3 linked regions of the Diceros bicornis minor genome follow. The main gene of each other region encodes a partner of the protein of the gene in region 3 in a complex. Links are inferred from orthologs where the notes say so. Each region holds a gene or a part of one and is shown on either strand. Other genes may lie near its edges.

Region 1 (3,748 bases), on a different chromosome or scaffold from region 3:
GAGAAAATGAGAGGAGAGAAAATCGGGGAGCTGGGTCTGTAGCAGTGGTCTCTCAGTGGGTCCTGAGAAGAGCAGAGCATATGGGCAAGTAGCCCCCGGCATCCTCACCTGGGCTGTCTGCAGATACTGCAACATAAAGTACCAGAGCTGGGCAGGGGTGTCCAGCAACAGGAACTGGAAGCCAGCAGAAGTAATGCAGGGCGGCTCTCCAGGTTCAGTACTAGAGATGTAGAGAGGGACAATGATAGAGGTATGCAGAGAAAGGCCACCACCCCGACTTGTCCTCTCACGTTCTTTCTTGGTTTATCTCTGGCCATGCTCCACTCAGCTCTCCTTTTTCAGTCAACTCCCTCCAATCCTGACCCGCCCCGGACGCTCAGTTTAGCAGGGACCCAAGGAGATGGCAAAGCATGGAGCTGTGGTACCTCTGGCCTCCTCACCTCTTCATGAGCCCAGCCTGGCTGAGGAGCTGAGCCAGGTCCTGGCTGACGGCTGCACTGGGGGAGCCCACCATGAAGTGCAGGACCACCTGAGGAATGGAAGAGAGCAGAGAGACCAATGCTTCTAAGGGCCGTGGGATGTAGGAGCAAAGCAGACACACACAGAGTCCCAAGGCCTCACCTCCCATCGCTCTTCTGCGTACTTGTCAAGTGAGGGGACATCCCGGGCATGCTTGTCTGGTCCCAGCTGACTTGTGTCATCAGACCAGGCCTTGCCCCTGTGCCAGGATGTGCCAAGAGTAAGGAAGCCTGCCTGTGTTCCCCGCTCATCCCTCTGCCCTCTTTCTACCCTCACGGGCCATGAGTGGGAGACACCATGCAGCTACATCTGGTCCACCTCATTCCTAAAGGAGCTCCCCAAGGTGGAGCCCCCCACCTGCAGTTTAATTAAACTGCAGTTTAATTAGCAGTTTAATTACTAGTGCCCCTGGTTTAGCTTAGGAAGAGATGGAAGTGACATACCCACCCAGGAGGGCAATGCGGAGGTTCTGGCGGAAGATGGGATTGAGGATGAGGCCCTGGAGACCACCAGGGAGCAGCTGCGTGTGCCAGATACGGAGGCTGCTCAGCAGCCCTGTACTTTCCTCCTGAGCTCTGTAACAGAAACAGAGAAGTGAAAAGGGTGTCTGGAGAGCAAAAAGAAGGAGGGCCATATAGGCCCCAGTTTCTGCCTTTTCTGAACTGGTAATCCTTGGAACACTTTCACAGAGTGAAATCAGTGTCTTCTTAAGGCAAATTTCTTTACCACAACACCTACCAGAGCCTTGTTATAGATATCACAACTCTCCAAGAGGGAAAATACAGTATACAGAGTTTCCCAAACTTATTTAATGACAAGTTTTGCAGTGTACCCATTAATATTCCCTGGAAGTGTTCCAAGGAACAGCAGTTTGGGAAATCTAGCTGTTAAGAAATTTGTATCTGGCTGAGAATGCAGTAGAGACTCACTTGCTGAATTCCTTCTTCACCCACAGGGCTACAGCAGCTTGCGGCAAAGGCTGCTCCAGAAAGAGCATCCGCATCACCCAGTTCTTAGCCAAAGATGGGAGCTCCCTGTGAGGTGGTAGATAAAATGTTAATATCAGAAACTGCCTTAGATCTGCATCTCTGCCCTCAACAGCCTCGCAAACATCTCATCTCCCCCCCCACACACACACACACACACTTGCACCAGTCTTGCTGCCCCCACAAACTCTGTCTGGGCCTGACACACTTTAATCTCCAACACCTCCCCGCCCCGGGGCTAAGCTTCTGCCCATGGTAACTTATTCCAGTCTGCAGGCCCCATTACATTTCCTCACCATGGTCCCTGCCATGAAAGGCGTCCTCACCTGAAGACAGCCAGACAGGTGGCAGGGTGCCCATACAATCGATCCAACACCCCAGGGCTCAGGCCCCCTAGGAATTCCTGCAGATTCCTGCATTGTAGGTGTACTCGGTTCAGTCCACCCCTTGAGGGGGTGCTCTCCATCACCTGAGAGATGCAAATGTTAGAAACAAGTCCCCACAATCCATGCCAGTGTCACCCCTCACCTTCCTCATTGTGTTTCCAGATCCACTGCTCCCCAAAATAACCCATCTTTCCTATAGTTTCCTTGTGCTTGTCGCTCATCTCCTCTGGTTTCTCCCAAACCTGACCAACCTGGGCGCGGCAATAAACAAACTTTCCCCTCCATGTCTCCCAAAGCTAATTCCACCTGTTTCCTCCTCCCCGCCAGGACTACTTCACCCCGTTCACCCTGATCCAAACCCGATCTCCTAACTTCTCTCCTACTTACCTCCCACTCCTCGCCCCTCACTCAACTCTCTCTTCTACCTCCGCCTCCCCCCCTCTCCCGGCCCCCTTACTGCTCCGTGTCGATCCCCCCTCGTGCACCGTGAGTCTCAAGCCGTCGTTTAATCGGGGCCGATGTCTTGCATTGGCTCTCGGGAATAGGGGGAAAGACAGTGAAAAAAATGAGAGAAAAAGATGGGGAGAGGGACGAAGGACTTTACAGACAGGAGTCCAGAGTAGAGGACTCAGAAGAGAAGGGAAGGAAGGGAAGACGTGGGAAAGAAAGGAGGATAAAGATAGGCGCTGCACTCGCCTGCCGCGGGGCATACTGGGAATTGGAGTCTTGTTCTTGCCCATCCTGGAGGAGGCTGAAGTGCGTCTGACTACAACTCCCAAAAGGCACGGCGGGGAAGCAGCGAGGAGGGAGGCTGGGCTTTAATTGAGAGAGCCCGGAACATCGGAGGCGGGGCTCCTTCGTTCTGTGTTGCTCTCCACCCACGCATCCTAACGGCTTTCCTAACCAACTAGTGTAGGAGGGGGGACGGCAAGAGTAGAAGTGCCCCGAGGGCTTCCTGGCGGAGGCGCGGACACGACTGGGTGGTGAGGCGCTTACATTTAGAGATGGACGAAACTGGCTTCCTTGAGCTCAGTTGCTCCCAGTAAGATCAGAATAATGCGCTCTCCAGAGCGTTTTCGCGAGTTAGGAGGTAACATGATCAATGCGCCTTACTGGGCACGTAGTCAATAAATCTTAATTGCCACGTCCACCATGCTCCCCACCCCCCCGGTTTAGTTAGAAAATCCTAATAAATTCAATATTTAAAAGAAACCAATCGTTTGGTCTGATCTGGTTTATGAAACTACTGCAGGGAAATGTCTTCACCCAAGGCCGGAGCTACACGTTCCCCCAAGTTTCTGTAAAGCGAGTTGTTTTATTCCCACTTTGCAGACTAGAAGACCGAAACTCGGTGAGATTAAGACATTTGCCGACGATCAGGCAGAAAGTGCCGCAGCTAGGATTTGAAGTACGTTCGCAAGGGCCCAGGGACCGAAACGTTAAGAACTGTGTAAGACTTTGTTATGTCTCGTAGCTCACGGGTGTTTGTTTTGTTCCGTTTCTTTAGCGATCAGTGTTTAAAATCCTCAAAGAATGATACAAAAGTGACAGAGTTTCTTTATGGCAAACGTTAAGGAAGGTTAAAAGACAAATTACAGTGTAGGAAGAAATATTTGATAAAATAGACTAAAGAGAAAGAGCTCTTACAAAGCAATAAGAAAAAGAAACAAAACAATAGAAAGATTGACAAAAGAGATTACAGGCAATAAACAGAAGAAATGCAAATGATTTAAAACCAAACGAAAGAACTCTCAACTTCACTAGTAATTAAGGAAAAGTAAATTAAAGAAACAATAAAATATCCTATTAGCAAAAAAATAAAAAAAGAAATTAAGGATTGACAACCTCAGTGTTGGC
Region 2 (3,733 bases), on a different chromosome or scaffold from region 3:
GCACGGGGCTGGCCCGGTGATGCAGCAGTTAAGTTTTCACGTTCCACTTCGGCAGCCCAGGGTTTGCCAGTTTGGATCCTGGGCACGGACCTACTCACCACTCATCAAGCCATGCTGAGGCGGCGTCCCACACAGAAAAACCAGAAGGACCTACAACTAGGATACAACTATGTACTTGGGCTTTGGGGAGAAAAAAAGAGGAAGATTGGTCTCAGATGTTAGCTCAGGGTCAATCTTCCTCAAAAAAAAAAAAAAAAGATAGTCAAGCATTATATACAAATACAGAAAGGTCTATGCCAAGTAACAAATGAAAAATATAACTCAAAATGAGGTATGCACACTGACAGTAAGTGCATTGATACACTCTAAAACAAAATGATGCAAGAAGGTTAACAAACAGTTGGTGATGTTAAACAGTGGTTTCCAAGGAACGAACTTAATCACACCTTTAGAGGGCCGTAGAAAACTTCATTTTTAACAAGGGCCCCAGATGATTCTAAGTTTTGATTGAAAGTGCAATTTGGGGAAGCACTTTTAACCTCCATTGTGCGTCAGATTACATACACAATAAAATTAAATTGTAAATCATGTAATCGAACAGAAGTAATTTATTTATATAAACTATTAATAGATACTAAATACAATATGGTTTTAAAATGAAATCATGTGTATACAGTTGTCTTCATAAAGAAAAGTATACTAATCAAAAGCTATACAACAACATTAACAGCAAATCCAAATACAAATGAAGATATTCTTCTGAATTCCATGTCTCATCGAGCATCAAAAACCACCACTGTATTAAACTGAGTTAAGGACAAAAAAAGTATTTAAAAATTGATCTAACACTTCCAAGTCACTTTCTCTTTGCAATAAGCTTGTTTGTTATTTAATCTAAAATGCACAAAAAAATGGAATTCACTATTTACTATGACAAGTGGAAATGAACTAAAAAAACTATTTCTATTTTTATTAGTCCCCTTTCCAAAGTGCAAAAGACCAAAGCACCAAAAAACACTGAAGCAATGTTAAAGGTGATAACTTATTGATTTAAAAAACATTGTTAGTTACCACATAACAATTTACTCTCTTTCAGCTAATTTGTAAGCTTCACTTTTTCCATCAGGTAGCATACATACACAATATTGTGATTTCTCCTTGTATAATTTAGTTTGTTCATAAACTCAAGCTCAAGAATGAGTACTTTGTGAAATAGAGAATCCCTGAAAAACAGACTTAAGAGAACCAAAATCAACTAGTATTTAGATTATTTAGTATATGCCTATACATTGGCATACTGGTCCATGAAAATGCTAATCATGCCTTTTTTGGTAAGTAATCCAAAAGTTATTACCATTTTACCAGAAATTAGTCTTTGACTCGCAACCCAAGCATTACTCTTCACTTCCTCCCATCTCATATTTAGAAAGCATAGTTAAAAGGATACATCTTTTAGTCCTTTTCTTATACATTATTCTGTATCCACATTCTCTGCATCTGATTGGATCTCTGGATTTTATTTCATTTTCTGTGTGACATTCTAGAAAAGAAAACACATTTATTCAATGTCTAAAGGGAAATATTACAGACAAACAAATTATCTTAACCATATTTTTCACCCAGAACACCAAAATATACTCCATCTCAAGGGAATGTTGCTATCACCAATATATTAATGGGGAAAGAAAAAAAGATGTGGTGCAATGCACTTTTTCAGGACAGAAATCTTAATGAGAGGATTTTTTTACGGTTGCTAAAGTATTCTGCTTTATAACTTTAAACTTGAGCGACGCATTTAAGCCAAAGATAAAAGTAGAAATTTCAAAAAACTGAAATAAAATACCCTTACTTTATGTAAGTGCTACTCTTACCTCCACAGATATATATCATTGGCTGCTGCTTTGGGGGTTGAACGTCCTTCTGGGTGTCCATTGTTAGTCCCTGAAATCACAGACTTAAATACTGAATATCTCAAAGGGGCTCTTCACAAATCCAACCAGCCCTCATTTTTCTCTGAAAGCTAAAAACGTCCCAATTCCTAATCTGTACTTTTTCAAACCCTATGAGGTGTAAAGCACGAAACAAAAAAACAACATATTGCGCAATTACCCCCAAACTGGACACAAAAGTAAATACATTATACGTGTTATTTCATTTATACGTCATTTCACTACAATCTTTACAACACTCCTAGGAGGTATTACTCTCCTTTTACAGATGAAGAAACCGAGGCTTAGAAAAGTTAATTTGCACAGGATTATTCAGCTATTAAGAGGCAGAAAGATTCAGATCGACTTTAGCAGGAGATGGCCACAAAAATAATACCCCTCAACAGGGGAACAAGCGAACCGAAGATAAGGGAAGGATAATGAAACAACCCCCAATAGCCAAACAGCTCAACTGAAAGAAACCAGGCAAAGGACTAAAGCATTGACTCTATCCCCAGCCTCTCCCAACTCTAAATCCACACCAGACCTGTTTAACCCGAGTATCTTGCCAGTTTTGGCCCAAAATCCCAACCCGCCAATTCCCTACCCACCTAGCAAGGAGAACGTTCTCACCCTACGGTTCCACACAGATTCCGGCTCGTCGCTCCGTCTCAGCCAACTTCCGGCGTTGGTGTATGACGCGGAGTGGAGTCTCCGCCCCTTCCGCCCTGGGCGTAGCCGAAGAACCCGGATTGAATACAGGCGGTCAAGCCGGGCGTTTTGCATATTAGGCTTAGCGGGCAATAGTGCATGTTAGCGTTACAGCTATTTTCATTTTTCAGCACGTCAAAGCATTTTAACAGTTCCTCAAGTCAAAGGAAGTTCGTTTTCCTGACTAATGTAGTCTGTAGAAAGTAACACTTTTCCAGAAGGGCGGGGGGTTAGAAGAGAAACCAAAATGACAAGTGCCCGTGGAATCCTAGGCTAACCATTATTCCGAGGAACGTGGGAGAATCGACTTCACTGCTGATTTTTCACGTGGAAAAACACTTTTCAGATTATGTTTTTCGAACGGTTTGATATCTGTGCTGGGGCGGTGGAGCAGACGCCTCCTATCCTTCACATAATTTCGTTTTTGCTTTTCGACCCTTTCTGTTCTAGGCTCCTGTCATCCCTCTCACCCACTCCTTTCACTCATTTTAAAGCAAAGGCGGGCGTGAGGGCAGCTACGTCAATTACTCCCACCTACAGCTGAGGGATTTTGGTAGCGGTGGCTATCCACTGACGCTCCTTCCGTCACATGTATTGTCCTCCAGAACAACAAAGTAACCTGCCATGTAAGGTTGGGTTCTTTCAAAGATCAAAATTTCAGTGAGATTAATGTCAGTTGGTTTTACAACATTTACATTCATTTGCTTCTTTCACAGTAGTATTTTACTTACAACAGAAGGAGGAAGAAGAAAATGAAGTTATTAAAATTTAGAAAATAACCAGTCGTTAACAACTATTATAGTTAATCGGAGAAGCAGATTTCTTTCTCCCCAACATGCACTACATCTTTGCTTTCTCACTAAGCAGGCTATACTGCTTTCCCATCTTGCATCCAGCAACTTGAGAACTTTGAGCTTAACCTGTCACTTTCAGAAGGAGTTCCAGCTGGTTGCACCTCCACAGACCAACTTGTGAGATTTAACTTGATATTCCCAGTCTTCCTAGCTGCCAATTTTTTAAATTTCCAGGGAAACACACCGGAATTTCCTGCTTCTTCCTCCACAGACAGGCTAATATAGAGCATAAATATTTGG
Region 3 (3,748 bases):
CCAAGTTGATATGAGGAAACAATGACAATGCAAACAATAAATAATCAAAACATTACAACTACCTTTAGAAAACGAGAACAAATCATTGGCTTCACTTGAGTTCTTTTTAAAGATTTTATTTATTTATTTTCTCCCCAAAGCCCCAGTAGATAGTTGTATGTCATAGCTGCACATCCTTCTAGTTGCTGTATGTGGGACACGGCCTCAGCATGGCCGGAGAAGCGGTGCCTCGGTGCGCACCAGGGATCCGAACCCGGGCCACCAGCAGCGGAGTGCTCGCACTTAACCGCTAAGCCACGGGGCCGGCCCCTTGAGTTCTTTTTAAAGAGAGAAAATGTATTCAAATGGCCATATATGAGAGCCCTAAAATTTTTTAACTTCTTCATTTTAGATTCATTACATTCTTTCACATTCTCATTTAGTCAACAAATCCTGACAACTTTCACTGAAAAAGTTTCCCTCCTCAGACTTCATTACCATACACCCATGATCCTGTGATAATTTTCTAATTTTGACTCTGGTTATCTTCCCCTCAAGTTTTTTTTTTTTTCCCTGAAAAAATCATTTGCACCCCTGCCTTACTCAAAATCCTCCAAAAGGTTCCTTACTTCCTGCAGACTAAGGTTAAGACATCCTCATTTCACGATATGACAATGAGTATATGGTCCCAACCTTTTTCACACAGACCCTCTGCTCTAAGCATAATAATCTGTTTTCCAGGACATACCATGTTAATGTGCATTTTCAGTCTTGCATTTCTGTTCCACTCTCTATGGTACACTATGCTATGCCTCTGTCTACCCATCCAAAACCTGTAAGGCAAACGTTTATTGAGCATCTACAATGCTCCAAGCACAAATGCATCGTCTCAAATTCCACCATTTTTTCAAGCTCGCTCTTTCAGTCTGCAAGGGAGATCTCCTTAACGATTCTCCTCCATTTAGCATGCAGTAGGAGAGAGAAAGGCTCATTTACTCCATCCTTTTAAGTCATATTCATATAGCTGGGATAAGTCAAATGAGTGCCCGAGACTAAGGTTAGGGATGAAGAATAAGAGAGTATTCATTCATTCATCACATATCTGTTGAGCAATTACCATGTGCCAGACACAATTCTGGGTGTGACAGGCAAGGATCCTATTCTCATGGAAGGTGACTGTGGGTGGGTGGGTGCGTGTGTGCGCACGCGCAAGCGCTGGGGAGAAGGAAGTAACCAACACCGAACACATGAACATAGAATCACTGTATGATAAGCGCTTTGAAGAATATAATACAGGTTTGACATGCTAGTGAATGATTATAAGGGAGCTATTTATAGAGGTGGATAGGAAAGGCCTCTCAGATTTAATTGATGAAAACTCAGCCGTGTGGTAAAAGTTTTTAAAAAAATTAACAAACCAAAGGTCCCTACATTCTGCTTGAGGTTCAAAGACTGTCATAATCACATTTTGAACATACATATGTCTTATGAAACTCCCCTAAGAGATAACACTCCCCAATATGAAAAAGTAAAGCACAAATACTGTGCTAAGGACTAATCAAGATTGCTGTTTTTACAAAAAAACTTTTATTGACGGCCAGTGTCACGAGACCCAGTCGTGCCCTAAAAGAACACTCCAGTCCAATGGCCTCTCCTTCCGCGAGTTCAGAGCTATCTCGCTCTCCTGAGAACTCCATTAAGGGCCATCAACCAAAGGAAACACTTTAAGGGTACGCAGGAACCAGTTCTACTTTCTGACCGAGAAAACTGTACAGAAAGCAGACCCTCAACTTCCTCCTACAGACTCACGACTAAAATCAGTTTCACCAAGACAAGATGCAGAAATTCTTCAGTGTGGGGTAAAATGCACCGCTCAAGTCGGGGGACACCAAGACAGGGGCCCAGCAAAATCAGGTCGTGGGGAAAAGAGATCCATTCCAGGCAAGTCCGGACTCTTAACTGAGTAAAGACACTATGTGTCCTAAACTAATTTTCTCGTCTTCTAACGAACATAACAGTAAGTTCTGCCTCTCAAGTTATGTGAAGCTCTAACGAGATGGCAGTAAAGAGCTTTAAAAGGCGCACGGAATGGGACGGTCTCAAGTCACTTAAACTATTTATACTAGGAGGAGTGCAAGCGGAACCCGCGCGAACATTACCTTGACCAGCCACACTCCGGTGTTCTGTTTGGCGCCGGTCAGGTCGAGTTCCCCGCGCTCGGCCATGGGTCTGTCGCCGGTGGAGGCGTCCGGGCCACAGCAGCTGCCCAGGGAGCTGAGGGGCTGCGGAGTTAGGGACTGGAGCACAAGACAAGCCGCGGCCGGAGGCAGACTTGGAAGACTCGGCGTCCACCTGCCAGGACGCTGGGAACCTGGGGAACAAGGAACACGCCGCTGGGAGCCGGGAACTGCGCCTGCGCACTGCCACTGTCAGTACGGCGCGCTAGTGCGGACAAACTTCCTGGTTTGGCAACTTCTCCAGTAGGCGTGGCTACTAGCGCAGGCTGTGTCTCAGTGATTAAAACATAGGGTGGCATGGGCCAAAACGTCACCAATACGTTTAAAGACTAGGTCGACTTAACTGAAGAAAAAAAGTATCAAAACAGAAAAATGGGATTCAAAGAGACAAAGGCTGTCAGTATAAGTCCAACTCTGGCCAAGGAGAGGAAACAGCATTAGGAGGACAATGTCAGAGTAATAAATAGAGGAAGTGAATTAGCAGAAGTGAGGGCTGGGATTAGACTGAATAGCCCTGGGTATATGGAAAACAAGCTCTTTCTAGACCTGAAAAAAAAGCAATGTCTCAACTGAGAGGCTACTCTGAACACCTCTGATTAAGCAAGCAGACCACACCCCCTTTCAGACTCCAAAACCAGGAGTCCATATTATTAGGGCAGTGACAATGGACATATAAGAGACAAAGCTGACTGTCAGACTCCGCTGCTTAAATAGTTTCCTCTCTCTCTTCTTAGTTCTAGAATAAAATTCAATTCTCTCTACCCAGGCCCTCTCAATTTGATCCCTGCCACTCAATGCTGCACACATCCAACAACGCGGAACCCATCAGAACACTCTGAAGGAAGCCGGGTACCTGAGGGTTACTGTAAATGTTCAATAAGATTACCTTTTGACCTTGTTCCCAACACAGACATAGATGAAAAGAACTTAATCTTGTCAATTTGCTGTTTTCTTGTTTTACCTGAGGGGTTATTCAGGGGTCACAAGGATTTATGAGCTTGTTTTGCAGAAGAAAAAGAATGCTTTCAAGGATCAACAGATAACCAGCCCCCAGCTCCTGTGGACGCTCAGGAGTCAGATTGCCCAGGGGCTTTATTAGGTGTGAAAGAAACAGGGATTACCCTTTGTTTCTCCAAAACTCCCCCTGCCAAGCCCCTTAGCTCTATAAAACCCCCTGCTTTCTTCTCTTGTTAAAGTGGATTTGAGCGCTGGCCCGGTGGCTTAGCGGTTAAGTGTGCACATCTGCTACTGGTGGCCTGGCTTCAGATCCCGGCGACGCAGAACACACCACTTGTTTGGCCATGCTGAGGCCGTGTCCCACATACAGCAACTAGCAGGATGTGCAAGTGTAACATACAACTATCTATTGGGGCTTTGGTGGATTTGAGAGAACCTATCCTCCCACCTTCTCATTTTGGCCACTTTGAATAAATCTTTTTCCATCTCCAAGCACGATGTCTCAGTGATTGGCTTATTGCACATCCGGCACACAAATTTGAGATTAAGAGGGTCAGTATCATGAACACATCAGA

What was found. Proteins that work in one complex are often made in the same cells at the same time.
Region 1: GTF2F2 (region 3) and GTF2H4 share a complex: the UniProt entries of both Homo sapiens proteins name them as parts of the TBP-based Pol II pre-initiation complex. The link is inferred for Diceros bicornis minor from reciprocal best matches to the Homo sapiens genes GTF2F2 and GTF2H4.
Region 2: GTF2F2 (region 3) and POLR2K share a complex: the UniProt entries of both Homo sapiens proteins name them as parts of the TBP-based Pol II pre-initiation complex. The link is inferred for Diceros bicornis minor from reciprocal best matches to the Homo sapiens genes GTF2F2 and POLR2K.

What each region holds. Positions count from the first base shown.
Region 1 is NC_080753.1:34,268,967-34,272,714, forward strand, and holds the start of GTF2H4 (general transcription factor IIH subunit 4), read right to left. Parts: upstream 2,577-3,748; 5' UTR 2,377-2,576; exon of another isoform or gene 2,349-2,376; intron 1,975-2,348; 5' UTR 1,972-1,974; coding exon 1,832-1,971; intron 1,554-1,831; coding exon 1,449-1,553; intron 1,095-1,448; coding exon 963-1,094; intron 719-962; coding exon 622-718; intron 530-621; coding exon 441-529; intron 221-440; coding exon 109-220; intron 1-108. UniProt on the Homo sapiens protein: Component of the general transcription and DNA repair factor IIH (TFIIH) core complex, which is involved in general and transcription-coupled nucleotide excision repair (NER) of damaged DNA and, when complexed to CAK, in RNA transcription by RNA polymerase II.
Region 2 is NC_080760.1:18,723,757-18,727,489, reverse strand, and holds POLR2K (DNA-directed RNA polymerases I, II, and III subunit RPABC4), read right to left. Parts: upstream 2,615-3,733; 5' UTR 2,540-2,614; intron 1,942-2,539; 5' UTR 1,933-1,941; coding exon 1,872-1,932; intron 1,541-1,871; coding exon 1,448-1,540; intron 797-1,447; coding exon 774-796; 3' UTR 586-773; downstream 1-585. UniProt on the Homo sapiens protein: DNA-dependent RNA polymerase catalyzes the transcription of DNA into RNA using the four ribonucleoside triphosphates as substrates.
Region 3 is NC_080748.1:31,595,249-31,598,996, forward strand, and holds the start of GTF2F2 (general transcription factor IIF subunit 2), read right to left. Parts: upstream 2,421-3,748; 5' UTR 2,205-2,420; coding exon 2,139-2,204; intron 1-2,138. UniProt on the Homo sapiens protein: TFIIF is a general transcription initiation factor that binds to RNA polymerase II and helps to recruit it to the initiation complex in collaboration with TFIIB.